4 linked regions of the Diceros bicornis minor genome follow. The protein of the gene in region 1 interacts with the protein of each later gene in a pairwise test. Links are inferred from orthologs where the notes say so. Each region holds a gene or a part of one and is shown in the gene's direction. Other genes may lie near its edges.

Region 1 (7,951 bases):
TTTTTAAAATATAATATTTAACTGTAGGCAAAACTTGAACTATATCAAAGTGATGTCATGTGGCCACTCACTGTCATTTCTTCACTTACCTCCCTGTCACAACTGCAGTTTTCACTTTTAATATTTAGTATTCTCTTGCAAAACATTCCTAAAAAGACATTATTTTTTTCTACTTTAGACCCATACAAAATGCATAAGTTTTTATACTAATCATGTGTGCATGTTTGACAAGCCACATTTTAAAATACAGTATGATGGGTACTTTCCTGAATATTGAAAACTGATCTTTATTTTTTCTCTTTTTATCGGGGTATATGGCATCATATCTATAGCAACAACCGTTCCTTAACATCATGTTCTGAATCTGTATGAATCTATTTTCTCTTTGCTTATGGATTTTATTACATCATTATGGGTGCATTAGAGATCCTGTGCTTCTTAGGGAAAAAAGATCCAAGCAGGGTTTCATTTAGAATTCATTTCCTATAGGTTAATGGAAAGCAATAAGTATAAACAATAAAACAAAAATCCCTTTGGACCCTGTTTTAGTCTGCCCTGATAGTTTAACTTCTGCCAAAAATGCTTTTATTTTTGGTTCACCTCATTCTTCAGATAATACATATGATGTCACTTCAGAGAGACTTCTCTAAGTATGTAGGTATGTACACTATTTCTTTCAAAGACAGTTAACATTTGTGATTGTTAGTTTGATTTATTGCTTTTGTTATCAACAAGGTTCCAGGATGGCAGAAGCCATGTCTGTTTTGTTCACTATCACAGAGGAGGCCAAAGGCAGATTTTCTGCTCAGCTGTAGGCCTCTAAGGAATGGAGGACGGTCAAGCATAGGTCCCACTAGCTGCTACCTGAAGAATGGGAATCTAGGAGGAGGGGGGTGTATGGAGAGAGGGGAGAGTGCTCCTGCATAGCAATCAGATTGCACGAAGGAGACCACTGAGGTGAGGTTTGTGCAAGGAATGGACACACCTGGGTGGCGGAAGCATGGAACATGGAAGCAGAATGACGAAGAGGAGGCTGGAGGGGTGGACAAACCCCAGACTTTGCATACAGTTCCCTTAAGCTCTGATGAGGAGATTGAATTCACTCAAAGCTCAACGTCAGGATCAATCGACTAATTGTGGTGCGATTTAATGGGAGATATTTGAGCATAAAATTATTCGAAATGGAAGTCTGCCAAATATATTTCTGAAATAATCCAAAAGGTGATCTTACTACAGTGAAAATAGATATTTTGAAGCTAGAAATTTTGAAGTAGATTTTTGATACAAAGAGGCGGTGGCTCTGTATTCAAATTTCTTTAATTCCCAAACTGGGTTGACTCTTTCTAAGTGTATGACTTGGGCTGGTTACATTAGAGCCCTAAGCCCTAGTTTCTTCATCTCTAGGATAGAGACGATAATAGTACTGAATATATCACTGAATAATATTAATATGACGTAGAAATTGATATTATACCTTTATTTCATGAAATTTAGAACTTTTTTGTAAATCTCATTTATATGTCGCTCTCCCTGTTTTTTAAGTATACCATTTTTTCTTTGAAAGAGAGAAAGGAAACTCAAAAAAATAAATAGTACAATAGTCCAAAGTGACATATTAGTAACTTGTATACCGCTGAGAAAAACTGTCACCTTGCCTAAGAGACAGCCTGGGCCAGCCGATGAGCTGGCATTTTCCCATTTAATGGTCACAAGAACTCAGTGAGATACGTGATATTTTGGCCTCCTTTTACAAATAAGGATATGAGTCAAAGGCAGTTTATGTAATTTGTCCAAGGTCATCTATCTAGAAAGTGGCAGAGTCAGAACTTGAACCAATAGAGTCTGGAGCCCAATGTCTTACACATTAAGCTCCTCTTTAGCAAGAAATAACAGGTTTAGTAATGTTATCTATACACTGTAGACCCACCAAATTTTATTTATTTGGTGATGTACTACATTCAAAACTACTTGTAGTAATCATGGTAGCCTGATTGTATGAACTTTTTAAAACAGCTTTATTGAAGTGTAATTGATATAAAACACTGCACATATTTAATGTATACAGCTGATGAATTTAAATATATGCATGCACCCATGAAACCATCACCATAATCAAGGTAATAAACATATTCATCACCTCCAAGAGTTTTCTTGTAACCCCCCTTTTGTGGTAGGCACAATGCAAAAATCAATGTAAGAAACCAAAGAGTCAATAGCATTAAAATATTTTCCCATACATCAAAGGCTTTGTGCTACAGCCATTGACAAATACTTTCACAATCACCTGAAATAAAACATGAAGAGTACCCACATATGTGTAGGGAAAATGAATGCTTTAATACATACACACGAGGAGTAAATATGCTGATTTACACTTGTTTGAGAAACACTTTAGAACAGGAAATGCTATTGAAGTTCAAGGACTGAATGATTAAACCCAGCTCAATATTGTTTAGTCCAATGTGAAAAAATACATAGTTAATTGGTAGGCAAGATCTCAGTGTACCAGAATCCAATTATAGAGTCTTCAAAACACTAGTGAAATAAAAGTTAATGAGACATTTTTAAAGACATTACAATTTAATGATATTGATTTATTTTGAAAAATGGCAAGAATAGATTTAAGCTTAATATACTGAAATAAATTTTCTATCTTCAATTTGGAAATGCAACCAAAAGAAATACCATTAAGTAGTGAAAAATGAAGATATATATATATGAATATGTAGATAAAATTTTTGGTGTGCTTCTAATTAAGAGTTCCTTTTGTTCTTTTTTGTGTGTGTGTGACCGAGGAAGATCAGCCCTGAGCTGATCCGATTCCAACCCTCCTCTTTTTGCCAAGGAAGATTGGCCCTGGGCTAATATCCGTGCCCATCTTCCTCTGATTTATACGGGACGCTGCCACAGCATGGCTTGACAAGCGGTGCATCGGTCTGCGCCTGGGATCCGTGCCTGCGAACCCTGGGCCACCAAAGCAGAGTGTGCACACTTAACCGCTACGCCACCAGGCCGGTCCCGCTTTTGTTCTTTTTTAATGGTCTTGGTTTACTGATAGTCCAAGAAATTTGGTCAGTTATATTATCATTGCCCTCTGAATTACAGTAAATGAAGGGAATAATTACTCCAAATCAGCACTAATTCAAATATGACTGGACATATACCAACGCTAACCAAAATAATTACAACCATGAATCTGTATTATAATAATAAGTGTTGTAATAAGGAGTGAGTTGGTTTGGCACCTCTACAGAGCACTTATTAAAATGTGTTTTTTCTACAACTGAAAGTGATGTACATTTAGTATTGTGTAGTCATTTTTTTCAGTGACTAGAGACTTATTTTGTAAGTTATTGGTATAATGAAACCCCTTCAGTTGATTAAATGGATGGCTCATAAGGAGACAGTTTATGATCTGTAACTATATAAAAGCAAATGAAAAAAATGAGAGGAATTAATGTCAAGTATATAAAATGTTACCGAAGATCATTTATACCAGAATATCTTATTTGATAATAAAAATGGGTAATCTTATACAACCACGGAACTTTATTAATTTGTAGATTAACCTGCATGTTTTAAGCATTTATTTTAAAGAAAAGGTCTACTTGTTATATCCTTAATATAGCTATGTTGCTATAATGAATAAAGTAATGGATATACATACTGATAAGAAAGCTTTGCATTTACCAGTTAATTTATCTTTGCTATTTATATGGAAATTTTTAATTCCTTTATAAACAGTTGAAATTGCTAAGACAGTGTTCAGTGTTATCTAGGCTGTGAAGCCTTTTCATTTCTAGGAGACAGCTGATCACTTCTTTAGCTCCTTAGAGCACCTTGTACACAACCTAGGAAGCTAACACTGATTTGACAAGTAATGTGTACTAAGAAAAGATTGATTGCATACATAAATATAATTTTTACAGTGTGAATTAGGTATTTTTAAATTATATGTGTTTATGTCATACACTGGACTATAAAATCTTTAAGGACAAATACCATGTCTTATTCATAATATTCTATTTTTAGAACGTATCATAATATTAACCATAGTAGGAAATTAATTCATGTATCAATTAAATGTCATTTTGACTGCAAGTAACAGAAAACTCACCAATCAGAGCTTAAATAAATATAGGTCATCATTCTCGCACAGCAGGGAAGGCAGAGGCATGCCTTCTGGGTTTCATGCGGCAGCTCAATCCTTAAATCAAGCTCCTTTCATCTTTCTGTTCCACCATTTTAAATGTTACAGGGTGGCTGTTATACTTGCCTTCATCTTTGTTCAGGCAGGAAGAAGCAGAGGAAAAAGAGTTTTTCGTTCTGATGTTTTCATATTTTTCTAGATGAGAAATTTCTCTGGCAGACCTCCCCTCACATCTCAGCAGCCAGAACCAGCTCCTATGCTGCCTTGAGACTAGTGAATGATCAGTGAAATGGAGGTCATCTCGGAAGACTGAGATCAATCATGATTGAGCCCTGGGATTGGGATGGGGGCTTTTCCTCCCAGAGATGAATAGATTCTGCATTCCACCTGAACAAACTGTGCTTTAATTAGCAGGGGAAAAGGGACCATTGAGTAGCTAATGGGCAATATGTGTTACAATAAATATTACCTGAAAAACATTGGATTTCTTAAAATGAATTATTCATGTTGCATTCTATCCTCAATTGCATCTTTATAATTTTATTTTTATTTGGCAAAATTTAATATAAGCAATTTCTGTTTCTTTGAGGATAATTACAAATGTATAAATTCCTCTATATTTTTAGTTACAGTGGAAAGGAAAATATGCAATATTGAAAAGATGTATTGTTTTCATCAACTTTCTTTTTTAAATGTAGGTCTTGTTCTTGTCATTGCAAAGAAATTCAAACATTAATTATTTGATTTTTTTTTCTGTCTTTTCTTAGGCCTGAAAACATACATATGAATTTAGATTCTATTCATCGGCTAATTGAGGAAACTCAAATCTTCCAGATGCAGCAGTCATCAGTTAAACCAACTTGTGACGTGATAGCACCTGCCTCCTCCCACAGAGATACCTGTAACTCCTGTGTGCCACTTTATGGGCTACAATCCCATGCAGCTCACGACCTCTGTGCTCACTCACGCAACACCAACGAATGGGATATTTGTGAAGAACTTCGCCTGCGAGAACTTGAAGAAGTCAAGGCCAGAGCTGCTCAGATGGAGAAGACCATGCGGTGGTGGTCAGATTGCACTGCCAACTGGAGAGAGAAGTGGAGTAAAGTTCGCACAGAAAGGAACAGTGCCAGGGAGGAAGGAAGACAACTCAGAATAAAATTAGAGATGACAATGAAGGAATTGAGTGCACTGAAAAAGAAACAAAGTTTGCCACATCAAAAGGAGGTGTTAGAGGCTAGAGTTACCCAAGACCTGAAGCGTCCTAGTTTCATAGAAGTGTCCTGTGCACAAAGAGACCAATTTCAAATGGGTTCCAAAACGTGTGAGTCTATCAGAGAGTGTTTGTTAAGAAGAGAATTTCCTACAAAGGAGAACACAACTAGTAAGGTGAGGAAAAAACCCACAGTGGAATCCAGAGACTATGCGCATATTTGAATGCTTTATATAGTGACGAGGAGGAAGGGGAAAATGACACACCCAATGGCGACTGTATTTGTGTGCTTAGGATGCCATAACTAAGTACCACAGACTGTGTGGCTGCAGCAACAGAAATTTGTTTTTTTTCACAGTTCTGGAGGCTAGAAGTCTGCGATTAAGGTGTCAGTAGAGTTGGTTTCTTCTGAGGCCCCTCTCCGTGGCTTATAGATGGCCATCTTCTCTCTGTGTCTTCACATAGTCTTTGCTCTGTATGTACCTGTGTTGAAGATTCGTCTTCTTATAAAGATACCATCAGTAAGCCTACCCTACTCACCTTGTTTTAACTTAATTACCTCTTTAAAGACCCAATCCCCAAATGTAGTTACATTCTGAGGTACTGGAGGAGGGTTAGCACTTCAACAAATGAGCTTTTTGGGGGGACACAATTCAGCCCATATTGCTGATATCACTAAGATTTTTAGCAAAAATTAACCTAGCATTTTTTTTATGTGAAAAAATATTTGGAGATATTTCTCCCCATTTACCCTAATTCTACCAATAATAGTACATTATCCGTATAGTAGTAGAAACATTTCTAAAGGTTTGAGACTCTGGCCTCACAATTAATTCTTGTAAAATAGGTACCCTAGGCAAATACTTTTAGGGATTGCTTCACACTACCCAGTTTTGGAATTTCTTGGTATACTTGCAATCTTGAAGTTTCTGAGAATTCTGCACAAGATAAACTTTTAAAAACTTCATTTAATCTAGCAGTTCATAACACTTATTTATCCATGAACACCACCACCCCCAGTTTTATTTTTTAAACCTTGTAAATACTATTAACGGTTAACCCGTGGAACATACTTTGGGAAACTTTGGGGATTCATATTATCGCTTTATTTTTTTTTTTAGCAGTATTTATTTATTTATTTATTTATTTTGTGAGGAAGATCAACACTGAGCTAACATCCGATGCCAATCCTCCTCTTTTTGCCAAGGAAGATTGGCCCTGGGCTAACATCTGTGCCCATCTTCCTCTATGTTATATGGGACGCTGCCACAGCATGGCCTGACAAGTGGTGCGTTAGTCCACGCCAAGGATCTGAACCTGAAACCCCAGACTGCCGAAGTGGAGCACGCGAACTTAACCACTATGCCACCGCGGCAGCCCCCATATTATCTCTTTAAATAGTATCAGTTTATATTGTTACCCCTTTCTATTTAATTCCATCTCTAAAAGCAAAATCAGTTCATATCTTTCTCTTCTACAATTCCATTTAAAATTTTAAGCCTTTCCATGATGTGTGGGACTTGTGGTAGATATAACTTAGATTCCACTGTAAATGAAAAATTTTAAAAGACTTCAGAGAAATGTGTTTTATTATAATAAGATAGAATATAGAAAAAAAAAAGCTTGAAGAATGCAAGTTAAAGTTTGGCCTTGTAACACAATGAGAGAATGATCAAGACATGAAAATATGACTTTGATGCTGAATCATAACATTTATTTCTTTCCAAAAATATGTTTCTTCATGATTTTTCTACACTAGATTTAAATGTTCACCAATAAGATTTGTTTTCTATTTTTTCCTTTCAGGAAGAAGGTTTGATTATTGACCCATCAAGATTAAATGAGGAGATGAAACTGAATCTAGATTGTTCTGATTTATTCAAGAACGGTGGTTCTGAAAACTGTGCTGTGACACCTGGATTAAGACCGCAAGCAATGCATCTGCCTTTGGAGAATGAAGCACCTGAAATGGCAGCTTTGCAGGTGCATTTGGATGAGTTCCAAAAAATCTTATGGAAGGAAAGAGAGTGAGTGCTCATCATTGTCTCCCTCAACCAAGTCTGATTTTCAAACTTCTTAAAATTCTTGCCTCTAGTAAACTGGCCATTTGATAATGTATTTTGCCCATAATTAGTCATTAAGTACTAATATTTAAGAAATGAGTTTGACATATATTCATTTTTTTAATTTTGAAGAGTAATTTATAACGTGTTAGTTTTTATCATTCTTTTATTGTAACCTTGTTCTCATCATCTCTGGTAGATTCACCTTAGTTATATCTGAATTATTAATGTATATGGTTACAATAGCCAGTGTATTATCTAACGTTTACAGTATTAGTAAACTTCAGTGAGTCAATAAAAATGAATAAATATGTTAATATGATGAATAACTCACAATTTTTTCAGTTATTGATCGCAGAAAAAGATGCTTTATTCATTGACCATTTGTGGTATAGAGGAAAGAGCAGTAGAGTTGAGAGTAAATGACGTGGATTTTCACCTTGGTTCTGAGATAGTCTAGCTATACGATATTGGGTTAGCCAAGAGTGTGCTATTGTCTCCTTTGTAAAACTATAGATAGTGATG
Region 2 (7,353 bases), on another chromosome or scaffold:
AATGCAATTGTTTTGGGCCCCTTATAAAACTCATCTATAAGAAATATAAATAACAGAGGCTGATGTGGGGGAGTCTACGTTTGATCTGTAAAGTCTGACAATCTGAGAAATAAACAGTGACTTGACAGTGGATGAAAGAGGAAGAATCGATGATTAGTAAACTCGGATACCACTGTTGATAAATGGTGGTTTTAGATAATGCTGACCCAAACCTGGAGCTGTGGGAAAGAGTAAATGAAGAATGCAGATCAGGTGACAGTGGAAAAGCAGTTATAGTCAGTCTTAGAGAGTGTCAGGGAATAAAAATATAGTATTAGGAATTTCTAAAATTGTTTTTTATTATGTTTTGTTTTTAGGTTTGGGTACATGATACAAAACATAGTTATCTCATAAATTTTAACTATGGACTAGGTAAAATAATTCTCAAAGCCTAAATTATATTGGAGTTATTAGTGAAATCAACCAGATTATTGTTAAATGAACCTTTCTTTTTAAGTTGGGAAAAATATTCTTTGGAATTTAAAGGAATAAGTATTTTATAGATATTCCTAACCCCTGAGCCAATATAAAAATATGTTCAGCTATGCTCTCTAGCAGGTATCAAAGGCATACCTTGGAAAGTGACTGCTTTTAGAATCTCTTACATAGAGTGTTGTAACATCTTAATTATTGAACTGACCACACAAATATTTTCAGCATTCCTACTATAGCCCAGGTCTTGTGTTAGGACTTGGTATTCAAAGATAGCAAGATACAGTTATTGCTGCCAAGGAGCTCACAGTTTAAGGGGCTCCAAAAAACATATGATAAGTGCTATAGCAGGTATTTGCAGGAAACTAAACAGCAATGGAGTCCATAGCTCCACATGAGGAGAAAAAAGGAAGGCTTCCTGGAAGAGGTGTCTGAGCTAAACCTAAATCACTGCAACAAAATTCTCAAGTTTTAAGAACAAGAGAGCAAACAGTTGTTCCGTAAGGGTATATAAAAGGAATAATCAGGAGAATGAGGCTAATAAATCTCTTTGGAATGCCCAAACTTACTTCTTTAGCATGTCTATCACAAAATTTCAAATTGTTAGTAAATATCAATAAATATAAATAATACACATGCATATGATATTCCAAGACTTTTCCCACATTGCTCCAGTAAAATGGTAGTGGGTTTTCCTTGGCTTTCTTTATTCATCATACAACTGTTCATAGCGACCAACAGCAATTACTACCTTTTCCTTTTCCTGGTTGGATTACTGGAGAGTAAATGAAATGTGTGAAGCTTAGTACAGGACCTGGTACACAGTAGAGTACAATAAATGGCAGTATCGTTCTCCATTCCAAGGTAGATCTTCTATGGCCATTCACCTCGGTGTCTTTGCAATTAATGTTTGAACTCTACACTAACCTCACAGCTAAATACCAGTACCTACCAGAGAAATCTTTAGCATGTTCCCTTTTTCCCCAGTTTCCTCAGTCTCTCCCCTATTTATTCTTAGTAATACCTTGTGGTAAAACTCTAGGGATAAGTTCCTAAAACAGGACTGTCACATTTAAGTTATAGTAGAAATGTTTAATCATGTAAGCATGATTCATGAAACAGCAACATTGCACTTATGCCAATGCAATTGCAAATAGAAGTATCATGATTTTATTATCTCTAGAAAAATAAACTCCACAAGTATTGAGATTACATACAATTCCAAATTCCAGAGTAAGTCAAGATAAGGCAGTAAATGTAATAGAGCTTGCTGACAGCAGATGGCAGCACTTGAACATCAAACTCGGCTCTTCACTTCCGTGTTGGTCTGTGACTTGCAGAAATGCAAAACCCCAATCAAAGTGGGCAAATGAGAATGTCCACATAGAGGGCACCTCATGAGTATTTGAAATAGTCACATAGAACCAAGATAGCAAGCACATAGGGATGTGGCAGCTGGTACATGGTGTGATAACGAGAAGAGACAATATGAGATGAAAGTATTTAGAGGCACAGAGGGTGTGATTTGTTGGAGTTGTAAAGATCACAAACAGAAATGGAGGTGGGTTCTACAATCCTGGAAATGGAGATCTTCAAAAAGGATCAGAGCACTCAAAACATATAAATACTTAAAATGCATTTCAGTTGAACCCACACAATACAGCAAGAAGTGGAATGACATTTTTTTAAAGAAACGAAATTTATTTTCAAGTGTAGTATAAACTAAAGAGAGTGATAAGTAATAGTGAGTATTACAATTACTTTTTTTTAAGGAACATTTCTTATATATTAATAGATTTGCATACGGCTTATAATTAGGAAGAAATTACTTTTTTGAAAAAACTTTTGGCCTGATTTGCCAATTTATTATACTGGTAATTTATACAAGAAGAAATGGATTCCCTCCTCCTTATATAACCCATGGTTAACAGCTAAGACTTTGGAGAAAAAGACATCTAAATTGAAATCTCACCTCAGTCGATTTTTAGCTGTGTGACCTTACCAAGATACTTAAGCTCTCTGTGGCTCATCTATAAAAAAGTGATAATAGCTTCCTCACAGGATTTTGTGAGGGTCAAAGAACTGAAGCAAATAGCACAATGCTTAATACACAGTATGTACTCAACAACTGAAAGCTATTCCTATTATTGTGATTCCATGTATGTGCCCTCCCTCCAATTTTACATTATTTACTTCAAATTCCTGAAAACGCATTGCTAACTATATTATGTATAGAGAAAGTGGCTGGCAACTTGGTAGCTGTACTGATGTTCTTGCAAATACTGAAATATTGAAATATAAAGTTAATTTGAAAAGGAATGGGGAAAGATGCAAATTTTAGTTTTACATTATTTTTTTGTGTATTAAAACCTGTATGAAGGTGCCTATTTAAGCTCAAGGCCAGGATCTCACCCTTAGTTTTGCTTAGCTAAGTCTGCTTAAGTCAAAGGACTTTATTGACCCATGTTAACCAGTCGGCCCTGCAGTCTCCAGACAGCAAACCAAACCTATGATTTCTTATTCCTCACTGGCCTTGCGTTGGCGAGGGGCACAAAGTGCTGGCTTTGGTGGTGATTAACTGGAAGAGTCTGTCCTATGAACAGATCATAAAAGAGTCTGTAGTCGGCCAGGAAAATATTCCCCTAGGCAATGCAGGAGAGACAGTTTCTACCAGCCTTCTCTAATCAGACTGGTTTCTCCGTCCTTTTCCAAGACCGGGCTACTCTTGAGTAGAAGAGGGTTAAAAGTGAGTAGGTGGAATGGTAAAGAGCAGTTGCTAAACACTCCCAAGGGTACTGCAAAATTCAAATTAAGTTGTAGCTATGCAGGTTAGACTCACTAGCCTGTGAGCTCTGCTTGACTAAGGGTCATGTCTCATTTATTTTTGTGTCCCCAATGCCTCAACAGGGCTCTGCATTCAATATATTTATGAATATGTGAGTCTTCATAATTGTGTTTTTCTGAAATGTCACATGTGGGTACACTGTACCAGTTTTTGAAATAAGTACACCTTTTGAAGTAGTTGCTTTGGAAATGCATGACCTGCGGTGTAATAAGGAATAGCAAGTGCCAAGCACTGAAGCTAAGCATTTGACCTCATTACTGAGCGTAGCAAATTTTGGAAACTGAGGCTTCGAGATTAAAGACTACAATGAAGACGGCACAGCTAATATGTGGCAGGGTTTAATACTTGAACCCAAGCCTGCCTCTTAATTACAAGACAAAATGTATTGTATTAATTCAGCAAAACCTGGGCAGCCGCTGTCCTTCAACGTGCAGCTCTAGGCAGTTTCCACCCAGAATTTAGGGCCTGGTTTACCAAGAAGAGCCAGTTTGTCCATCCACCCCACCCACCTTACCCGCCTCACCCTGAACAGGAAGTGGAATGGAAAAGGTAAAACGTGGCCATTGCGCATGCTCAGACCGCCCTTCCTCACTTTCCCTTCCCTGCCCCTGGACGACACCGCAGAAACTTTCCCGGACGACTTATAACGTCCTCTGCCCACTGTGAAGTCAGACGGGCGGAAGTCGTTCCTCTCTGCGACGTGGATGCCCTTCTCTTCCTCGAGCCGTTTCAACTTGGAAGCCGATATCAAGCGCCTCTGTTTCTCGAGTATTCAAACTGCAGTTTGCCAGTAGTCAATATGGCCGCTGACGGGCGGGTCCCAAGCAGAGGCTTTTCATAGGCCAAGGTCGCATCCTAGCCCCGCCCATTTCGCCCCACCAGGCTGCGTCCGTCTGGGTCTTCGCTACGCATGCGCAGCGGGGGCGGGTCGTGAGGTGGGACGGCCCGCGTCTTCCGTGTGCCGCCGCCGCCGCCTCAGTGTGGCTGCTGCTGCCGCTCTGGGGCTGCCTTGCCAGCCTTAGCCGCGCGAGGGGAAGGGAGGGGACCCAGGGAACGTGCGTGCGCGGGGGTCCCCGCAGTCCCATCAGTTCCTCTCGCGCGGGGTGGGCGGGGGGGGGTCAGCAGCAGTTGGGGGAGGCCCTGGACAGCGCCATGTCGGCGGGCGGCCCGTGCCCGGCAGGAGCCGGAGGGGGCCCCGGGGGCGCCTCCTGCGCCGTGGGGGTCACCCCCGGCGGGGTATCCATGTTCCGATGGCTGGAGGTGCTGGAGAAGGAGTTCGACAAGGCCTTCGTGGATGTGGATCTGCTCCTGGGCGAGATCGATCCGGACCAGGCGGACATCACTTATGAGGGGCGACAGAAGATGACCAGCCTGAGCTCCTGCTTTGCGCAGCTTTGCCACAAAGCCCAGACTGTGTCCCAAATCAACCACAAGCTAGAGGTGAGCTGCGGGCGCTGGAGGGGGTGGCATTCAACCCCGGTCGTCAGATTCTATTTAACGCACCAGGGAAGCGACCCTAGAAAACTGCCCACTAGGGCACCTGGGCTTCAAATGTGACGGGGGAGTGTGTGTGTATATGTGTGAAGGAAAGGAGTGAGGTGAAGTTGGAATAGAAAAAGGGGTGTAGATCGACGTGTGGGTCTCCCCGTGTCATCCACCTTCCTAGTATCTCTATGAGGAGGAAACAGGAACTAATTACACCAGCCTACTTGTACATATTACATTAACAAACCTAAGATTAAGCTCAAAGCTTCTCTGTCATAAGAATACCTTAGCCCACTCTTTAACATTTGGGTTTTTAGATCTCACATTGATAAACGAGGTATTTATGTCACCAGACAGATACACTCCTGATTATTTTTAACCATTTCAGGTCAAGGTCTGTTGTTGCACACAGACATACTCTTACCAGCATGCATGAACTAGTTAGGGGAATTTGATCAATGCTGTTAGGAAGATTTAGTGGGATAAACACTAAATAGTATCAGTATCCTTCTTGGTTTACAGTTGGTCTTTAAATTACAGGCGTATACCTCCAGAGCTCCCTACAATTATTTAAATGACTTCTAACATTGAGGTTTTGTTTATGCTTTACTATATTTCCCAAAATCTGAATTTATTTTTTAGAGTATGTGAAGAATGGTCATTTGCTTAAGTCTCTAATCTTGGTTGTGGGTGTGGGTGGATGGTGATGGTTCCAAAAAAGCAAAAAAACTTACCATATTGTGCACCAAATTAAATTAGTACATTATTACAGTATTTAGAAATCATGATAGATTAACATTATTACATAAAGAGCATTTTCTAACTAGATAATTTAAATAAGAGAATGGGTCTTCATTTTAAATAGATATAAATAGGATAATCAGTGATGTACAAAGTCCTTTGAACGTTAGATTTACTAAGAAATCATCATTGCTATCAGTTGTAATGCTTGAAAGTGCCCATTGGATCCAAATCAATATGAGTATCAGATATGCATCGTCTCCTTGCTTGTGGTTAGCATTCTTTCTCTTTCCTGTCAGTTAGCCATGAAAAAGGTGGGATAATTCATCTTTGATTAGCATAGAATTGCGTATCAGAGATTTTGTGACTCTTCTCCCCTGAAAGGACTGTTCATTTCTTCCATCCTTTTTGAAAAGGTTGAAGTGGGAGTGCCAGTAGGAAGCTAAACACTTCTTATGAAAATGTCTCTTGATTTCTTGATTAGGGGTAATTTCTAAAAGATATTTATTTTTCTCAGTTAGTGAAATTGCATTTGTTGGTTTTTAGAAATAGTACTTTAGGTTTAAGTAACAGAGCAAGAGTGGCTTTTACCACATGAGAACTTCCGTATCATTTACAACTGCAAGTATCTACTGAGAATAAACAGCTTTTAAAAAGTGAAACAATATCTAATTCATTTCTTTAATGACTTAAGGAAACTTGAAAGAGTGATATTTTGATGTCAGATATAAAATCTAATTTTGGAGAAAGGATCATTCTGTGAGTAGGAGGTGGTGCTCAATTTTTTTCATCTTTAAATATTTTAGATAAATATTCAGAGCTATAATAAATTATGCATGTTCTTTTTTTTCAGAAATTATAGTTACATATTCTGGCTCCATGCCTGGCTTAGGAGGTGGTGTTATTTCTCAAAATAAGAAATGCTAACCTATCACAATGTGAGCATATTTTTTCAACATGCCTGAAACCCTTGATTTAAAGATCTTAGAAAATGGGGAGGGGAGAGACTAATGTGATTTTTTTGTTGTTGTTTGTGTATTTTTTCAGTTACAGTTGACTTATCAAGTCTGTGGGGTTAATCCTTCTACATGTAGCAATTTCCACAGTTTTCATGGAATCAGTTGTGTATTGCTAAAGAGTGAGGTTCATTGTCAGTAGTGCCTTTGAAAGTAGATCTGCTGCTGTATCATCTACAGAATTTCAGAGGTTGCTCCGTATACTGTTATCAGTCGTCTGAGATCTTGAAATCTTTGAAAAAATTTCCATACTTTTTGCCCTATTTTATTTTATTTCTTGAATTCTATTTTTTTAAGGATATGGAAATTAAAACATAATATTTGAGACCACTTATGGTTTGGTATAACAAATGTGCACCAAAGTTTAGTGGTTTTAGAGACTAATACCTTAAGCCATATTACCATAATAAAATATCTTTATAATCAAGACACAGATACCTCCAGTATGGGTAGCTTATATTTAAATTGGTCTTAAATATCCTTCCAGATTACTCCTTCTTCTCTCCAGTTATTGTGTCTTTAGGTAACACCACATTTAATATTAATATAGTAGTTAGGAAAACAATTTTGATGCAAAAAAGTCATAGGTTACATTTTAAAATTAAATATGAATGACATCTATGTGACTGCTTCTTGCTGTAAGTTATATTTGGGGAGAGGGCTATCTATAAGGGAATGGGGAGGGCAGAGAATATCAGAATATTTTGAGAGAGTGCCATTGCAGTTTACTCACATCTCTCTTATGCTTCCCACTTGCTTGAGAATTCCTGCTGTGGTGAGCCACTGGGTGACGGC
Region 3 (8,123 bases), on another chromosome or scaffold:
TTCTCTCTGCAACGGGAATCACAGCCTGGCCTGAACTAGGAGGCAGACTGCAGAGAGAGCCCCACCAGGCCAGACTCTGATAGAGTTGAAGAAGGAGAAGCTGCCCCCTTCCTCCTGGGGACAATCAGCTCAGCTCTAGGTCAGTCCCTGTGTGTGTTACTAGGGTGTTTAAATCCCTACTAAGTTTGGGAATTGACCAAGAAAGCACATGCATCCATTGTGTTTGACTCAGATGCTCCTACTTAAGAAAGCGCCACGTTGCAGATCCACAGTGGCACTTCTTATGTTTTTTTAGGGCTCTGGAGCAAACCTCTTGTTTACAAAGATGAATTCCCAGAAGTCCTGGGGTAGACTGCAGTGGGCTTATGAGGACACCAAGTCCTCTGTTGGCAATCCCCAGAAGCCAGGCCCATGGCCATCCCTCAGACATCTTTACCATCATGTGTGTCTCGAGTTGGTCCCAGAGAGGAGATGTACCTTGAAGTGGCCTAGATGCCCGTAGCTAAGGAAGCCAGCAGGGTTCTGGTACCCAGGGGCGACTGAGCCCACAGATGGTTCCAGGCTTGTCCTGCAGCGCCCCCTCCTGGAGGTAGGCAGCATCACCTCCCAGGATCTGTTTCCCAAATCTCAGGATCTTCCTTGCATCAAAAGTAAATATAAGTTTTTCTAAATCAGTGAAAATGCAGTTAGCTTTTCCTCTCTGATACAGCAGCCAGAAAAGAATTTCCAAAATACCTGTTTCTTATTTTTCAACCCCCAACCAAATCTAGGCCTCAGACAATGGCAGCAGTTTCCTCCCTGGCCCCAGTCTCTCCCTTGGTCTGCCCTTCACAGTGCTGCCTAAACGACCTCTCCAAAATGTCAGGCCAAGATCCCTCCTTGCCTACACCCCTCCTGATCACTCCAGACTCGCCCAACCTGGTCTCCTGATGGCCATGCCTCTGCTTCAGCCACGCTAACTGGCCCTCCTGCACGGGGCTGATCTCTTTCACACTAGCAAGGCTTTGTCCCTGGCATATCTTCTGCCTGGAGTCTCAACTCTCAACTCTGTCCTTCAGGAGTCAGCTGGAGGGTTGCCTCTTTACTACTTCTGCCCTAGGCAAAGTGGCAGTCACCCCCATCACTTGTGGTCCCACTGCCTTGGTCCTTGGCTCTTCCGTGGCACCCGTCTCCCTGTATCGTGCTGTCTCAGCATTTCCCCCTTAGAGTGAGGTTCTAGGAGCAGTAATGGTAACTTGTTCCTTTCTGTGGCTTCTGTCAGCTACCCTGCTTAGATAAGCCTGTCAGGTAATAGGACTCAGGAAATGTAGACCAGTTCTTTCTAATATGGTTACTGTGTATTTTCTTTATCACTTGTTGAAAGATAGGGACAGAGCTTCCTTATCAGTGCTGGCCTGGCCCACACCTCCAGCCCTGGAGACCACACAGAGAAAGCAGATGCTTGGCCTTCTTGGGTCAGGCCCAGGGTCCAAGCAAGAGAGCCCCCAGGTCCACAGATCTGCAGAGCTCTGGAAAGGGCAGGGCCTCCCTGGGGCCCAGGGTGTAGTCTCATGCAAGGCCACTTCTCCAGGCCTCTGCTTCCTCAGTCATAGTGAGGAGCTCAAGCTAGTTATCTGAAGAGCCTTCTACCTCTGAAAAATCCCAGAGAATCCATGCTCATCCCTGTGGACAGTATCTCCTGGGGCAGTCAAATCACTTTCCAAGGAAAAGTGTGGGCAGAAAGAAGAAATATCCTGACTCCATGGCTTACCCTGTGGCCTTGCCATGGGGCCGGTGACCCCTAAAGGAGGGAGCATCCAAATGACCCCTAACGGAGGGAGCAGCTTGGGATAATGCCCATTTTCTTCTTACTTCTTCCATCTGGGCCTGCCCACCCCATCCCTTCTGATGATCTTGCCAGGCCATTATTCCGGGGGCCCCATACATGGTTCTGGACTTTGGATGGCCTCAGCCTTTCAGATCCTGACCTGTCCCTCTCTGCAGCTTCCTCAGCTCCCCACCTTGGTCTCCTTATCTTGATGCCTTTTATGGGGGCCCTCTGCTAGGTGATACAATGTGGTGATGTGTGCCCTTGAGTTCAGTCTAATCCTTCAAGGTGACACCCAGGATTTTTGCTGGAACATTTGTGTAGATGAGATACAGGAGGAAAAGCAGGTTGGAGAGAGAAGAAATTATTCATTTAATTTGGAATTCCCTGTGTTTAAAGTGTCTGAGGGACATGTAGGAAAATCAGGAGGCAGCAGGATATGAGAGTTTCCAAAATGGCCAGCACTAGCTGCCTCTTCCCAGAGACCCCTGAGGTCAAAAAGCAGTAGTCATCTGGTGGCTTGGCCTCAGGGCTCCAGGGAGAACATACACCTCTACCACCACCCCCTGCCTGTCAGGAAAAAGGCACCATTGCCTCTGTCGCCAGGGGCCACTCTGGGGGCAAAGTCTGGTGCAGTTGTGGTCTGGCAATAAGTGGAAAGCATTCCAAAGCTGCCACTCTTGGAGCAGACAAGTGAACTCTGCCACTCTAGAGGGTGGATCCCAAGTGTTGGTCTCCTTGAGGTTGGACCAAATGCAGGCCCCTTCCCTGGGAGATGAAGCAAGACCAAGCACCTGCTTCCTATGATCTGACAGTCCCTTTCCTTTCTCTGCCCCAAGTTTCTCCTTGTCACCTCCCTCTCCATCCCCACTGTTCTCCTGTCTAACCTTCAGGTTCATCTGAGGAGCCTTTAAATGCACAGAACCGGGCCCCACCTGTGCAGATTCTGATTCAGTTAGATGTGGGGTAGTGCCCAGGAATCTATATTTTTGTCAAATTCCTGGGCAATCCAGATGACCAGTCAGGCTTCAAACCGTGCACTGGGGAATCCTCCACCCTTCTTCCCAGCCTCTCCCTCTTCAGGCAGCTTATTTGGGGAATCATAGTCTGAGAAAAGGAAAACGTTTATTTTCAGCAAGTCCAAGGTCCCAAGTGGGGGCAGAGGCCAAATTCCCCCTTCCACCTGAGGGCCTAGGCCCATAGGCTGCTGCTCTGGTTCAGGCTTGGGAGGAGGGGAGCCACGAGTGGGGCGGGACAGTCACTTGTACTGAGGAGAGAGTGGGGGTACAAGTGGAGCCATACAGATACTTAGCATCTTGTCAATGTCCACTTGAGTTGACTTATCCACCTCAGCCTTGAGGCAGCCGCTGACCCCCAAGCTGAGCAAACCCCCAGGCTCCTCTCCAGCTTCCTTTCCCAGGGGAACCAGAGCATGGGTGGGGAACACAAACGTATTGGGGCAGGGCAAAGTAAGGCCTGAGCCCAGCTCACCTGCCACATGTAGCAAGGCCTGCAGTTGCTCCACACCTGCCTCCTCAGGGACCGGGGTCAGCTCCAACTCAGGCTCCACCTCGGCCTCCACCTCCCTGTCTCCCTCCCCTGCCTGGTTCAGCTCAGGGTTGCAATAGTTGATGTACTGGTACAGGGGCCGCAGGCGCTGGGCCTTTCCTGCAAGGACCCAGGGCAGGGCAGGGGCTAGAGTGCCAAGCCGTGCCATGTCAAGGGTCCAGCAGGCAGGGGGAAAGAGGAAGGCCCGGGGACTGCCACTCACGCTCCAGCCCCAAAGTCTCTGAGGGTGCAGACACTGTGCTGGCCACAGCTGGGAGCACTGGGGCTCCCAGACTCTTGCGTTTCTTGGCTTTTTTGTGCTGTTTGGCAGACAGTGACGGCTCACTCTGGCTACTCTCTGGCTCCTCCCTCTGCAGCGGCAGCCCCTGTGGCAGCTCAGTTTCAGCCCTAGGATGGGCTTGGTGACTAGGCCCTGGGAGGCTGGGGGATAGGAGGACCGAGGAGCCAGCCTTCAGCCTTGACTCCTATGTCCTGAGCCTAGGGAATAGCCCTGCCTGCCCACCACCCTGGGACCCGATTCTTGTCCCTTTCCTGGTCAGTGAGGCCCCGGGCTGGTCAGAGGCTGAGAGTTCATGTGAGCTCAGTCCCCTTCAAGGCCTTGAGACTACCTCTCAGGATGGTCCCTACACCAGGGTTCTTGAAGGACAGAAGGGGTGAGGAGTGATGGTGGCAGGGCATAAGGATGCACCCTGCAGGGGTGCAGGATGGATTTAGGAATCCTACTGGATTGTGAGTTGTCGTCCCCCCAGCCCCGCCTCCAGCTCTGCAGCTCCTTCCCTCTGAAAGCCCCCTCACTTGACTGGCTTCCTCTTCGGACCATGACTGAGCCTCACAATGGAGGCCATAGGCCTGGGGCCTCTCTCCTCTAGTGCCTCCACCTCTGGCTTGAGCCTCTCTTCTTCCAGCTTGAGTCGTTCCTGCTGGAGCTCTGGCTCTGACACTGATCCTGCTGGATACTTGTCTGCACCCTGGGTCCGGCAGGCCTCATGGGCTGGCACCAGGCACTGTACTCCCATCACTGGACACTAGAGGTGACACATAGGTAACTAGTTATCATGGCCAGGCAAAGGATACAGGGATCAGTCATTAGACACCTGACATCAGACACCAAATGCGAATGAAGGGCACCAGCCCATGACCCTCCCAGCCTATGAAGCCTGTCCTGGCAGTTAGGGGGTCATCGCACAGAGTTTGGCCTCCTACAGCGCTGCGGCCAAGTGTTTGAAGGCTAGAGACACCTCACCTCAGAGCTCTGAGCGCGGCCACCTAGCGCCTCCGCGAGCTGTGCTGGCTCCACGGCCGTCCCCTCCTGGGCCCCTGGCCGCCTCTGAGCCCCTGATGAGGCCATGGCTGCGCGGGGTCAGCGCATCCTCGACGGTTGCTTGGTCGGCGGGGGGCGGGCCCCGAGGGGCCGGACTGGTGGACCCTGCGCTGACCTTGGAGATCGGCGGAGATCGGCCGGTAGGCGAGAGCCAGGGAAGGGCTACTAGCGGCCGCTCTGCCCCACCCTCAGCAGGAACTACAAGCCCCAGAGGGCTTTGCGCCAGGGGCATTGGCCCCTGACCTCAGGGACGGAAACTATTGTTGCCTGGCAACAGCAAACCCGTCCGGTTGCAGCGGCGGGTGGCAAAACGGCTCGGGTGAGCCCCCTGCCCAGGTGTTGCGGGGGAGGGGCCGCGAACCGGGCAGGGAAGTGGGCTGGAAGCCGAGGCAGCGAGGGCAGGCCGGGGTCGGGAGGCAGGGCGGGGGCCGGGAGAGAATGGAGGGCACGGCCGGGATCAGGGGCCCGGTCCAGGGAGGAGGCATGGGGCTTGAGGACAGGGTTCTGGGGCCGGAGATGCGCAGCCCGGCAGGCCTCGGTCCACCGTTGCAGGGCGACGACGGCGGCATGTGCGAGGGCCCGTCCCGCATCTCGGGGCCCATCCCGCCAGACCCTACGCTCTGCCCTGACTACTACCGGCGGCCGTCCTCAGGTGAGTTGGTGGGTGCCGCGGCCAGGCGAGGCTCGAGCGAGGTTCCCGCCCCGCTCCACCACTGAGCCCCGCACTCCACCCCGTCCGGCCCCTCAGCCCAAGGGCGCCTTGAGGGAAACGCGCTGAAGCTGAACCTGTTGACTTCGGACCCGGACCAGGATGCCACCCCTCCCCGCGGCCCCCGCATGAGCCCCGGAGCCCGAGAGATTCTGGAGCGTGGCCGGCGTGCCGTAGGGGCCGTGTTGCTGCAATTCGGGGATATCTCCGTAGGCCCAGGCGCCTCTCCCAAGAGTAAGTTCTGGGCAGAAGGGGCAGAGAGGCGAGTCTGAGGTCAAAAGCTGAGATCAAAAGGGGGGGCTCCTCCTTCCTGGACCTGGGCTCAGACTTTGCCTCTCGGAGTCTTAGTTTCCCCAACTATAAAAGAAGGAGAAAATGCACTACCTCTTCTCAGGAGAGGACTGAATGAGTCATTCCCTGGGAAACCCTAGCTCAGCTTCATGGATTCAAGCATCAATGAAACGTTGTTTGCTGAGTGTCTACTGTGTGCCAGGCCCTATAGGTGCTAGGAAGACAAGGTTGAAGACAAGCATGGGCCATCATCGAGTCAAGGTGGGAGACAATAAACAAGTGAAGAGATGAATATGATATACAAGATGATTAATGGTATACGTCACAATAAAAATGTAGAAAATAATCAAGGATGGAAGAAGATTACTATATCAGGAAGGGAACAAGGTGATGAGGTGGAATATGTGTATAGGATCTAAGTTGGATGGAGAGGTCAGAGAGATGTTTCTGTAGGAGGGCAGGGTGTGGGCCTGTGTGTGAACTGGTATGAGTTGGATTGCCTGGGCTGTATGTAGGGAAGATCCTGGCAACATCTTTTCCGCAGGGAAGGACCCTAAAGACCATGAGAAGGAGAACCTGAGGCGGATCAGAGAGATCCAAAGGCGCTTCCGTGAGCAGGAGTGCAGCCGGGAGCAGGGCCAGCCCAGGCCCCTGAAGGCTCTGTGGCGCTCGCCCAAATATGACAAAGTGGAGTCCCGGGTCAAGGCCCAGCTGCAGGTACCTGCCTCAGGGAGCCAGAAGTATTGTCTATCTTTTTTTTTTTGGTGAAGAAGATCAGCCCTGAGCTAACATCTGTCGCCAATCCTCCTCTTTTTGCTGAGGAAGACTGGCCCTGGGCTAACATCCATGCCCATCTTCCTCCACTTTATATGGGATGCCGCCACAGCATGGCTTGACAAGCGGTGCATTGGTGCGTGCCCGGGATCCAAACCCCGGGCTGCCGCAGCGGAGCGCACACACTTAACCGCTACGCCACCAGGCCGGCCCCGGTATTGTCTATTTTGTTGCCCAACAGGCAGTTATACCCTATCTGAGTTATGGGGAGAGAGGAAAATCACAGGGGACTAATGTACCAGAGGAGTAAGAGATAGCTGGTTCTATTTCAGGGTGGGGCTGGCGGCTTTCTCAGAAGTGATGATGGCTGGGTGAGGGGCAAGTAGAAATTAGGCAAGGGGAGAATGGAAGAGAACATTCTATAGAGCTAGAACCTCACAGATAGAAGTCCTAAGACCAGAGAGAGTGTGGCCCGTGGGGAGGCTGTGTACAATTCACTGTGAGGGGAGAAGAGCACGAGGTTAGGCTAAGTCAGCTAAACCCACATCATAAAGGGCCATATAATCCACTTCTCAACTTTTATTTCTTTAATTTTTTTTGTGAGGAAGATCAGCCCTGAGCTAACATCCATGCCAATCCTCCTCTTTTTTTTTTCCCCTTTTCTCCCCAAAGCCTCAGTAGATAGTTGTACGTCACAGTTGCACATCCCCCTAGTTGCTGTATGTGGGATGCAGCCTCAGCATGGCCGGACAAGCGGTGCGTCGGTGCGCGCCTGGATCCGAACCTGGGCCGCCAGTAGCGGAGCGCGCGCACTTAACCGCTAAGACACGGGGCCGGCCCCTCAACCTTTATTTCTAAGGGCAGTGGGAAGGGCAGGGACAGGGTTATGGTGGTGGGATTCTGTCTTGGGTAGATAGTGGCACCGTTTCTCTACCCAGTGGTCTCAGAAGAAGGAGCAGGATTGAGAGAAAAAACAATAAGGTCATATGTTGTTCTGTTGAAGCTGAAGCATTTGTGGGACTCCCAGGGGGTAGGAGTGTGTCCAGAAAGCAGATGGAGAGTCAGGTCTGGATCTTGGAAGTGAAATCCAAGTGTTATTGAGGATCAGGCCGAGGACAATGAGATCAGGGAAGTGACCCTGGATTTGAGGGCTTGGAGGCCAGCTATCAGTGACCTTGGTGGGGACAGAGTCTGGAAGCTTGGCTAGGAAGGAGAGAAAAAGAGATTGGTAACTGGAGCCAGGAATGGAGGTAGAAGGAGGGGTAGTTTGTTGTTTTCTTAAAGATGTGAAAGACACATATGTTTAAATGCTGATGAGAAGTGTTCCTTCAAGAGGGAGGAGACCCATAGGGCTGGGATAGAGAAAGATCCTGAGAGGCAGAAACGACAGAGTCATGGTCTTCTGGCTTGAGACCCTGACCTCAGCCTAAATGTTCCCTCTGCTATGTCCTGCCCTCCAGAACCCCAGCCCTGCCTCTGGGACAGAGCCTGCCCACTTCCTACGGGCACATTCCCGCTGTGGCCCTGGGCTCCCACCACCCCGTGTCCCCAGTCCCCAGCTAACCCCACCAGGTTCCAGCACTAAGGTGAGAGGATGTGTGGGGCCTGGGAGGTGGGGCAGGGATCCTGGGGGGTTCAGGGATACAACACAG
Region 4 (7,151 bases), on another chromosome or scaffold:
GCTAATCCTCCTCTTTTTGCTGAGGAAGACCGGCTCTGAGCTAACACCTATTGCCAATCCTCCTCTTTTTTCTCCCCCAAAGCCCTAGTAGATAGCTGTATGTCATAGTTGCACATCCTTCTAGTTGCTGTATGTGGGACGTGGCCTCAGCGTGGCCGGAGAAGCGGTGCGTTGGTGCACGCCGGGGATCCAAACCGGGGCCGCCAGTAGTGGAGCGCGTGCACTTAACTGCTAAGCCACGGGGCCAGCCCTGTATTTGTTTCTTTATCTACGAAATGGAAGTTGTACCTATTTTGCAAGGATTGCCGTGAAGAATAGAAATACTATACATAATTCACTTAGCACAGTGCCTGGAACACAGTAGGTTCTCAATACCGTTATTATTAGCTAACATTTATTGAGTGCTAGCCGTGTTTCTAAGGACTGCCCCTGAACTATCTTATTTTATTTTTACAATAACCCTGGGAGGAAGGTACTATTATTGACCCTCATTTTTCCAGAATGTTAAATAGCTAATAGTGGTAGAGCTAGAGTTCACACTCCAGTAGCCTAACACCAATCTGTGGCCTGAACCACTTTCCCACCCGGCGTGTATTTGCAAATGTTTGTATCCTGATCAAGGAATTTAATGTGCTAGGCTTTGGTGCTCAGAAACAAAGAAACAAAAGCATCTGTTAATTGAGTGCCCATTATATGCAGGCACTATGCTAGGCAATTCCAAAAAGATTTTCTCATTTTAGTTACTATTTAATCACTGTCTTTATTACCTCTAAGAATTCATAAAGTCTTCTAGAACCCTACAGATAGAAGCTGCTTTATTTTTTAGTATAATAGTGCAGCTCTTGTTTCCCAGGATTCTTTATTGCAGCTCTTCTTCCAGAAGGTAGATTATTGCATTGTTATTTACAGCAGAAACACTAATGAGATGCTAGGTTGGCAGATGATACAAAAGATGAAGTACCTTTGCTTAGGAACTCTTATTTTAAAAAGTTAATGATGGACAAACGAAGATTAACTTATCCAAGAAGTTCAAATACTGTTTCCATAAAGAGGCAGTTTTGTGTGCAGGCTACTTTTTTAAAGTTTGATTGGAAGGGAGAGGCAGTGAAGGGATTATCAGAGAAGAGCAGCTTTGAGGAAAAGCTATTGTAAAGATTCTGTACTACATCTCTTATAAATATATAGAATCTAAAATCTTAGACTGGAAAGAACTTAGAGATCATTTAGTCTAACCATGGACTCATTTTACAGAGAAGGAAACCACACCTTGAGAGAGAAGATGTCTTGCCCAAAGATAGAACTTAAGTTTCTTAACTCCTGGATGATAATAAATTATTAATTACAAATAACTGCATATAACTTGTTTGATAGGACTTTTAGGTAGCAAGCTATAGAACAGTCATGTCAACATCTTTCTTGGGCAGTTCCAAAATCTCCACTCTGGGTCTGACCCCTATAATCCAGTGTGGTATGTATTTCACACAGACTGGGTCTGGCAATAAGGAAATAGCATTCATTTTCAATCTCGGGGCTCAGCATAATTCGATATATAACATTGCAGCCAATTGTACCCAGGGAAGCTTTAAAAGGATGGTATTCCAAGAATTGGTATTAGTGTGAAAAACCAAATGTTTTATTCCTCTTTCATTTTTTCATACATCCATTGTTTCTGGGGGTAAAATAGGTGGGTCAAGCAGAAGGAGGCACTCTAAGTGGAGGGAAGAGCATACACAAACTAGGTTTGAGACCTCAGAGGGTGTTTGGGGCCCTTCCAGAGAGCCAGACCTGCTCTAGTATGTGCACCTTGGACTTTAGCTTGAAGTCAGTGGGGAGCTACTGAAGGATTTAGAGAGAGTTTAATTATTTTTTTTATAACATAATAATATATGAATACATTCTTATATAAATTCAAACACTAAATCTAGAGCCAAAGTTCTCCTTCACTGCCCCTTCCATTCTCCAGGTTCTCCTCAGAGGTAAGCACTATTCTGTTTGGTGTGTATACATGCATAAGAGAGATATCTAGGATTATCTTGCATGTGTGTTTTAAAACAAATATTATCCTGTCAAAAGATCAATTAGAGGGATAGAGCTTGTGTTTCAGCAATTCTTAGAACCAGCTAGCCATCTGTTTACTTTGGTGTTCAGAGTATTTTGTGAACATTCCAGTTTTCAAGTGTGATTCTTACACAGGGATTGGTGCTGTGGGAACCATATGGCAGACCCCAAACACGACAGATGCAAACCCTCACAGCCAAATCCACGAGGTCTGCCTGCACTGTGGCCTGCTCTGGGTCAAAAGTTTGCTCCCTGCAGTTGTGCAATCATAGGACAGCTGGAATTCATGGATATTAAATGTTCCTTGTTCAGATTAGGGAATAGACAATGTGTTTGCCATGTGTTATGGAACAACTGAGGATCCAAACATGACCACAGGGTCCTTTTCTAAGGGAAACATGTAGAATCTCAAAAGGGTTTGATCTTTTACATTGTAATAAAAGTATACATGTAACAAAACATATCTACATAGTGAAATGGTTTTTCATTATCCACAGTCAAGTTAAAAATTACTATTACCAAACTAACCAAATAAGGACTTCTAATATATTTGGGCATACCGATAGCTTAAGTCTATGCTAGGGTACTGGTTGAATCCCTCTGTTGCCTTTGCTCTAAACTAAATTTCCCAGCCCGCTTAGGGAGAGAGATAAATAATGTGATCAGCACCCATAATGGGTTTTACATACAACCAGTGATTTGCCAGTTATTCCATTCATTAAACTATTCCAAAGTTTTGAGAAAAAGCCCCAAGGTTAAAAATCTTCTGTGGAAACATGCTCTATACACCTATATGGCACTTTTAATAAAAGACCACTTCCTGTGACTGACTCAAAATTTCAAAAGAGGTGAATGGGGGGGTGGGGGGTGAGAATCTGTTACTGTTTGGAAATGCATTTGGGATTTGTCTAATTCTAGATGGGGACCTAAGGCTCCCGAGCCACAGGGCAGAGGTCATGACTAAGGACGCAATTTACTGGAATTCTCCCCTGACCTTGATCCCATAACAGTTGCCTGGGTAAGGGCAAAATCCAAAGGCCTTTAAACAGGGTACAAGTTTCTCCTAATACAGATTAGGGAGAGGATCATTCAGCAGGACCTTGTTGCAGGATCACTAAAAACTTCAAACAAGGAGATTTACCTATTAGTCAATCTTATCATACATTCTTTCAGCAAACCTGCATATTTTACTGAAAAAGAGAGTCGCGACATCTGCAACACCTTGTTTAAGAATAATTATTATAAATATATTAATATTCTCCATCCCTTTAAGGGAAAGTGATAAAGGAGCTAGGGGCTCGGTGGGAGCTGTTCCTGGAAATCCCCCAGAACGTCAGCAAAAGTCTTGAAACGGAGGTGGGAGCGTTACAGTGGAGGACTATGGAGGGCGTCTGTAGTTGTGCCAAAGGAAAATAACCTTGCCAAGAAAAGAGTATACAAAACCTTGTTCACCAAAGCCTGGAACCCAAAGAGGTCCCCTCAAAGCTTTACACGGCGGAGAGAAACCTGCTTCCTCGAAGAGGAGAGAACTGAAGGCTGACGCACGTCCCAAGGGGCCAGGCGCCCCCTCCTTCCACTCCCATAACCTCTCCCTCCGTGCTCAAATCAGACAGGGGACCTGGAGCTGACCCACAGGCAATTCGGACCTCCTCCCCGAGACCGCCGCCACCGCCAGAACCACGCCGGCTCCCCAATCCTCCGCATATCGCAGGATGAAGCGAGAGCGCCGGGAGTCTCTCGGCTGGGTCTTCCACCCGCCCCGTCGCCGTGGTGACCGCCGGAGACACGCAGTCCCGCCCCTTCCTCACGACGTGGCCCCGCCCCCTTCAAACCCGGAAGCGCGAGGCCGGCGGCCGCTGAACTAACAATTCGGGAGGAGAGAGCGCGGCCGCCCAGGCTCGCTTGGCCGCGCGCCCCGCCCCCCGGAGGCCGGCCTCTCAGCGGGCCCCCACTGCTCTCTGCGCCTGCGGGGCGTGTGGGCTCTGGCCCGGGGGCCCCCACCCGGGCCCAGCCAACCCCACGGCCGGTGCCTGTACTGGAGGGAAGAGCCTCCTTGAGGAGGAGGGAAAGGGACGTGAGGGCGGACACGGCAGGTGAGGAGTGGAACCAGGCCCTGGGAAGTGGGGGTGTGGATGTGTGATGTGTATGGAGTTGCAGGTAGGTGTGTATGTAGTGTACGTGGCTGCCTCTGTCCGTGTCGCTTTGTGAGTGTGGACTCGAGTGGACCGGTGCGTGTGACCATGCACGTGATCTCCTGTCCCTCTGTATGTGTGTGTGTGTGTCTGAGGTCGAGTAGTACATGGGGGTGGTCGGTGTGCCTGTGACCCTGCCTTTGTGTGCTGTCATCGGTGGGACTGGGTGAGGGTGGGGGTCTTATGTGTGGGTCGCCTGCGGGTGGGGGGAGGGGGCTTGACCAGGGCATCCTCCTGTAGTCCCATTCTCTGGCTAGGCAGCTGCAGCCCAGGAACATGTTTTTCAGTTAACTTTGAAGAACTCTGTGCAGAGGCCAGTTATTTTGGAGATTGCACCTCAGCCTGAAAGTGACAGATGTCTTTGTCATTGCTGAGTATGGGCCAGGTGTGAGGCTTGTGAATGAGGGATGAGGAAAGTAGCAGGTCAGGAGTCTCACTTTTCCTCTTCTCCTTTTCCTGGGGAGTTTTAAGTTCTGCATTTATGCTGCTGCTTTGTCTCCACCTACAATGTTCTAGCTCCTGTTGGCACAAAGATTCAAGAGACTGAGGAGTAACTTAATAGCTGTGTGCAAATTTCCAAAAGCTTTTATACCAAGACAGAGCACAAGATGAGGTGTCACAGAAGAAATGTCAAGTAGGCAGCTTTTCCTCCCATGAAGTTTAGAAGATAATGGAATAAGTTCCTGAAGAAAAGAGGGATAAATCTTCCCCTGAAGAGATCTAAAAAAAGGATAGCTATGTCCTAGTGTGGTGAGGTCTGGAGACTTGCATTGAAAAGCCAATTGCATGGCCTAGAGACTCTTAGGTCCTCATATTTTGTTATTGCTGGTATTAATAATAATCACAGATTGTCCATATGTGGATCAAATACAGATTGAGATAAAGGATCAGAAACCTCTGACTAGTTAAGCTGGTTATGTGACTTAAACATTTGTAAAGGCGATTTCATTGACTATAAACTGGCAGGTTCTGTTGAAACCCTGAAGGATAAGTGCATATAATTCTTGGTGCATACTCACAGCTGGCAGTTTCATTGTTGAGCAGTACAAGGGCTGAGAGGACTGGGTATGCAAAGCACTCCCCAAGGAGGGGTTTCCTTAGGCAAGATTAAGGCTAATCTCTGCGGCCCTTTTCCCACCAGCATGAACAGGTGATTTCGTGAAGAATTGAATTGTGAGAGATCAAATCAGTGTTGAGCTCATGGTCCACATTCTTTCCTATTTAATGCTGACTGGTTTGGTCGCAATCTCAGTTAACCTTTTTTGCCACATACAGAATGTTTCTGTTGTGACTTGGAAAAGTATACCCCGTTAGTGGATGAAAGAGAGCTAGGAGAACAAAATTTCTTTTCATACTGCTCACAGCTGCTTTCCCTTTGCAGCACTGAGCTTTTTTTCTCTTCAACGTCAGTTGGTCAGATGCGACATTTGGTTTCTATCTGACCTTTCATGTACTGCCAAACTAGCACAAGTGTTAAAATCACTTGCCTCTACAAACATTTAGTCACAGTCGGGTGGAATCTCTCCATCCAGCAAGATTAGTTATAAAATGTTATAACACCAGGGTGGTTGTGAACAATACTGAGGACTGCGGTAAGGAACGTCTTTCTGTTTATTGCTATGGGAAGAAGTGGATGACAGTGAATTTGTGTGCCTGTGTATGATGTGTATTTCTGTTGTAGTTTGGTTTGTACATTGCAACTCATTCCAAACTATGAATGATTAATTTTATCCCAAGTTTGGCGAATCTAGAAGCAAACTTTCTGGCTTTAGTTAGCTAAGGTGCTTTATAAATCTATTGAGTAGATTTTATTTGCTAAACATGTTTTTGATATTTCCTCCTGTACAATAGAGTAATTGTTTATAGTAATGCAGTACTAGAAAATGTTGCCATTAGGCAGTAGTTAGATGATATAGGAATATTTCAAGTCTATCCAGATAGAAAATATTCCAGAATTAACTATATGTGCTAGTTGCTTTCAATTAAAAGTGATAACCAGCGTAGAGAAAGGTTATATAGTTCAAATGGCTTAGATTTTTTAACATGTTAATATTTGGTAAGAGAAAATGGATATGCAAAGAGTGACTTTCTTTATTTCAGTATAATAATAACTACATCTGTGCACACTGATTTTCAGCATAAGACTGGCTGATGATTTTCTTGGTGCTTGAGAGCAACTTATGATTTTAACAAACTTTTCTAAAAGTACCATCTTAGTCTTGAGAGAAGAGACCATTATTACAATGTCAAGGTTGTTAATCAAGTTTAATATTGGATGTCTACATTTGCCATCTCCTTAGGGTTCAGTTTAGTAACCCCCCAAAAGGTTAGAGGTAACAATTGAGACTGCTGAGTGCCTTTTGTTCTTGAGGGAGCAGATCTGGAGGGCGGGGGAGGAAGAGTTCCACTGGGTTTAGAATCCCCTGTTCCTGGCCGGTCCAGAGAAGCCCCTCTAAAAGGACAGCTCAGAGAAAGCCCAGGAGTTAAATCCTAGAGTCTCGAACTCATCCTAGCTCTCCCAGGAAATCCAGGCTTGCCCTGGGGTAGAGGGAAGGACGCAATGCAAGTATTTGAATCCTTCCAGACCAGTGGGTGGAAGTTCCTCATTTGGCAATAAGAATCTGCAAGAGGGAACTATAATTTCAGGTTCCTGTTATGACCTAACGTGGATGCCTGAGCAAAGAGGGGCAGCCTCTAAATTAAAGATACTCAGCCAGTCCAGTGCTCATAGGTGCCCGGGTTAGAAGGAACTCTAGGATTGCCTAGTTCAGTCTCCTTAGGACATAGTCATTCATTTAGTCAACAGATAATGCCTGCTGTGTGCCAAGCACTATTCTAGGCTTTGGGGAAACAGTGGTGAAACACTCATAGATGAGAAAACAAGCCCAAAGAGGATCTGTG

What was found.
Region 2: the proteins of CCDC102B (region 1) and GOPC interact in binary tests that used the Homo sapiens proteins (3 or more experiments, as listed by UniProt). The two-hybrid records come from large-scale screens. The link is inferred for Diceros bicornis minor from reciprocal best matches to the Homo sapiens genes CCDC102B and GOPC.
Region 3: the proteins of CCDC102B (region 1) and ENKD1 interact in binary tests that used the Homo sapiens proteins (3 or more experiments, as listed by UniProt). The two-hybrid records come from large-scale screens. The link is inferred for Diceros bicornis minor from reciprocal best matches to the Homo sapiens genes CCDC102B and ENKD1.
Region 4: the proteins of CCDC102B (region 1) and SPG21 interact in binary tests that used the Homo sapiens proteins (3 or more experiments, as listed by UniProt). The two-hybrid records come from large-scale screens. The link is inferred for Diceros bicornis minor from reciprocal best matches to the Homo sapiens genes CCDC102B and SPG21.

The regions. Positions count from the first base shown.
Region 1 is NC_080755.1:58,670,725-58,678,675, forward strand, and holds the start of CCDC102B (coiled-coil domain-containing protein 102B), read left to right. Parts: upstream 1-4,924; 5' UTR 4,925-4,933; coding exon 4,934-5,539; intron 5,540-7,169; coding exon 7,170-7,390; intron 7,391-7,951. UniProt on the Homo sapiens protein: During interphase, forms fibers at the proximal ends of centrioles to maintain centrosome cohesion. During mitosis, dissociates from the centrosome following phosphorylation to allow centrosome separation. Contributes to CROCC/rootletin filament formation.
Region 2 is NC_080762.1:18,494,718-18,502,070, forward strand, and holds the start of GOPC (Golgi-associated PDZ and coiled-coil motif-containing protein), read left to right. Parts: upstream 1-4,262; 5' UTR 4,263-4,468; coding exon 4,469-4,756; intron 4,757-7,353.
Region 3 is NC_080771.1:19,462,081-19,470,203, reverse strand, and holds the start of ENKD1 (enkurin domain-containing protein 1), read left to right. Parts: upstream 1-5,023; 5' UTR 5,024-5,135; coding exon 5,136-5,349; intron 5,350-5,445; coding exon 5,446-5,640; intron 5,641-6,241; coding exon 6,242-6,414; intron 6,415-7,931; coding exon 7,932-8,057; intron 8,058-8,123. Other genes in the region: C32H16orf86 (uncharacterized protein C16orf86 homolog), read right to left, coding at 3,066-3,475, 3,579-3,796, 4,004-4,012, 4,172-4,401, 4,620-4,724. UniProt on the Homo sapiens protein: Microtubule-binding protein which regulates microtubule organization and stability. Promotes the stability of astral microtubules and facilitates the proper orientation of the mitotic spindle.
Region 4 is NC_080744.1:59,337,121-59,344,271, reverse strand, and holds the start of SPG21 (maspardin), read left to right. Parts: upstream 1-3,960; 5' UTR 3,961-4,151; intron 4,152-7,151. UniProt on the Homo sapiens protein: May play a role as a negative regulatory factor in CD4-dependent T-cell activation.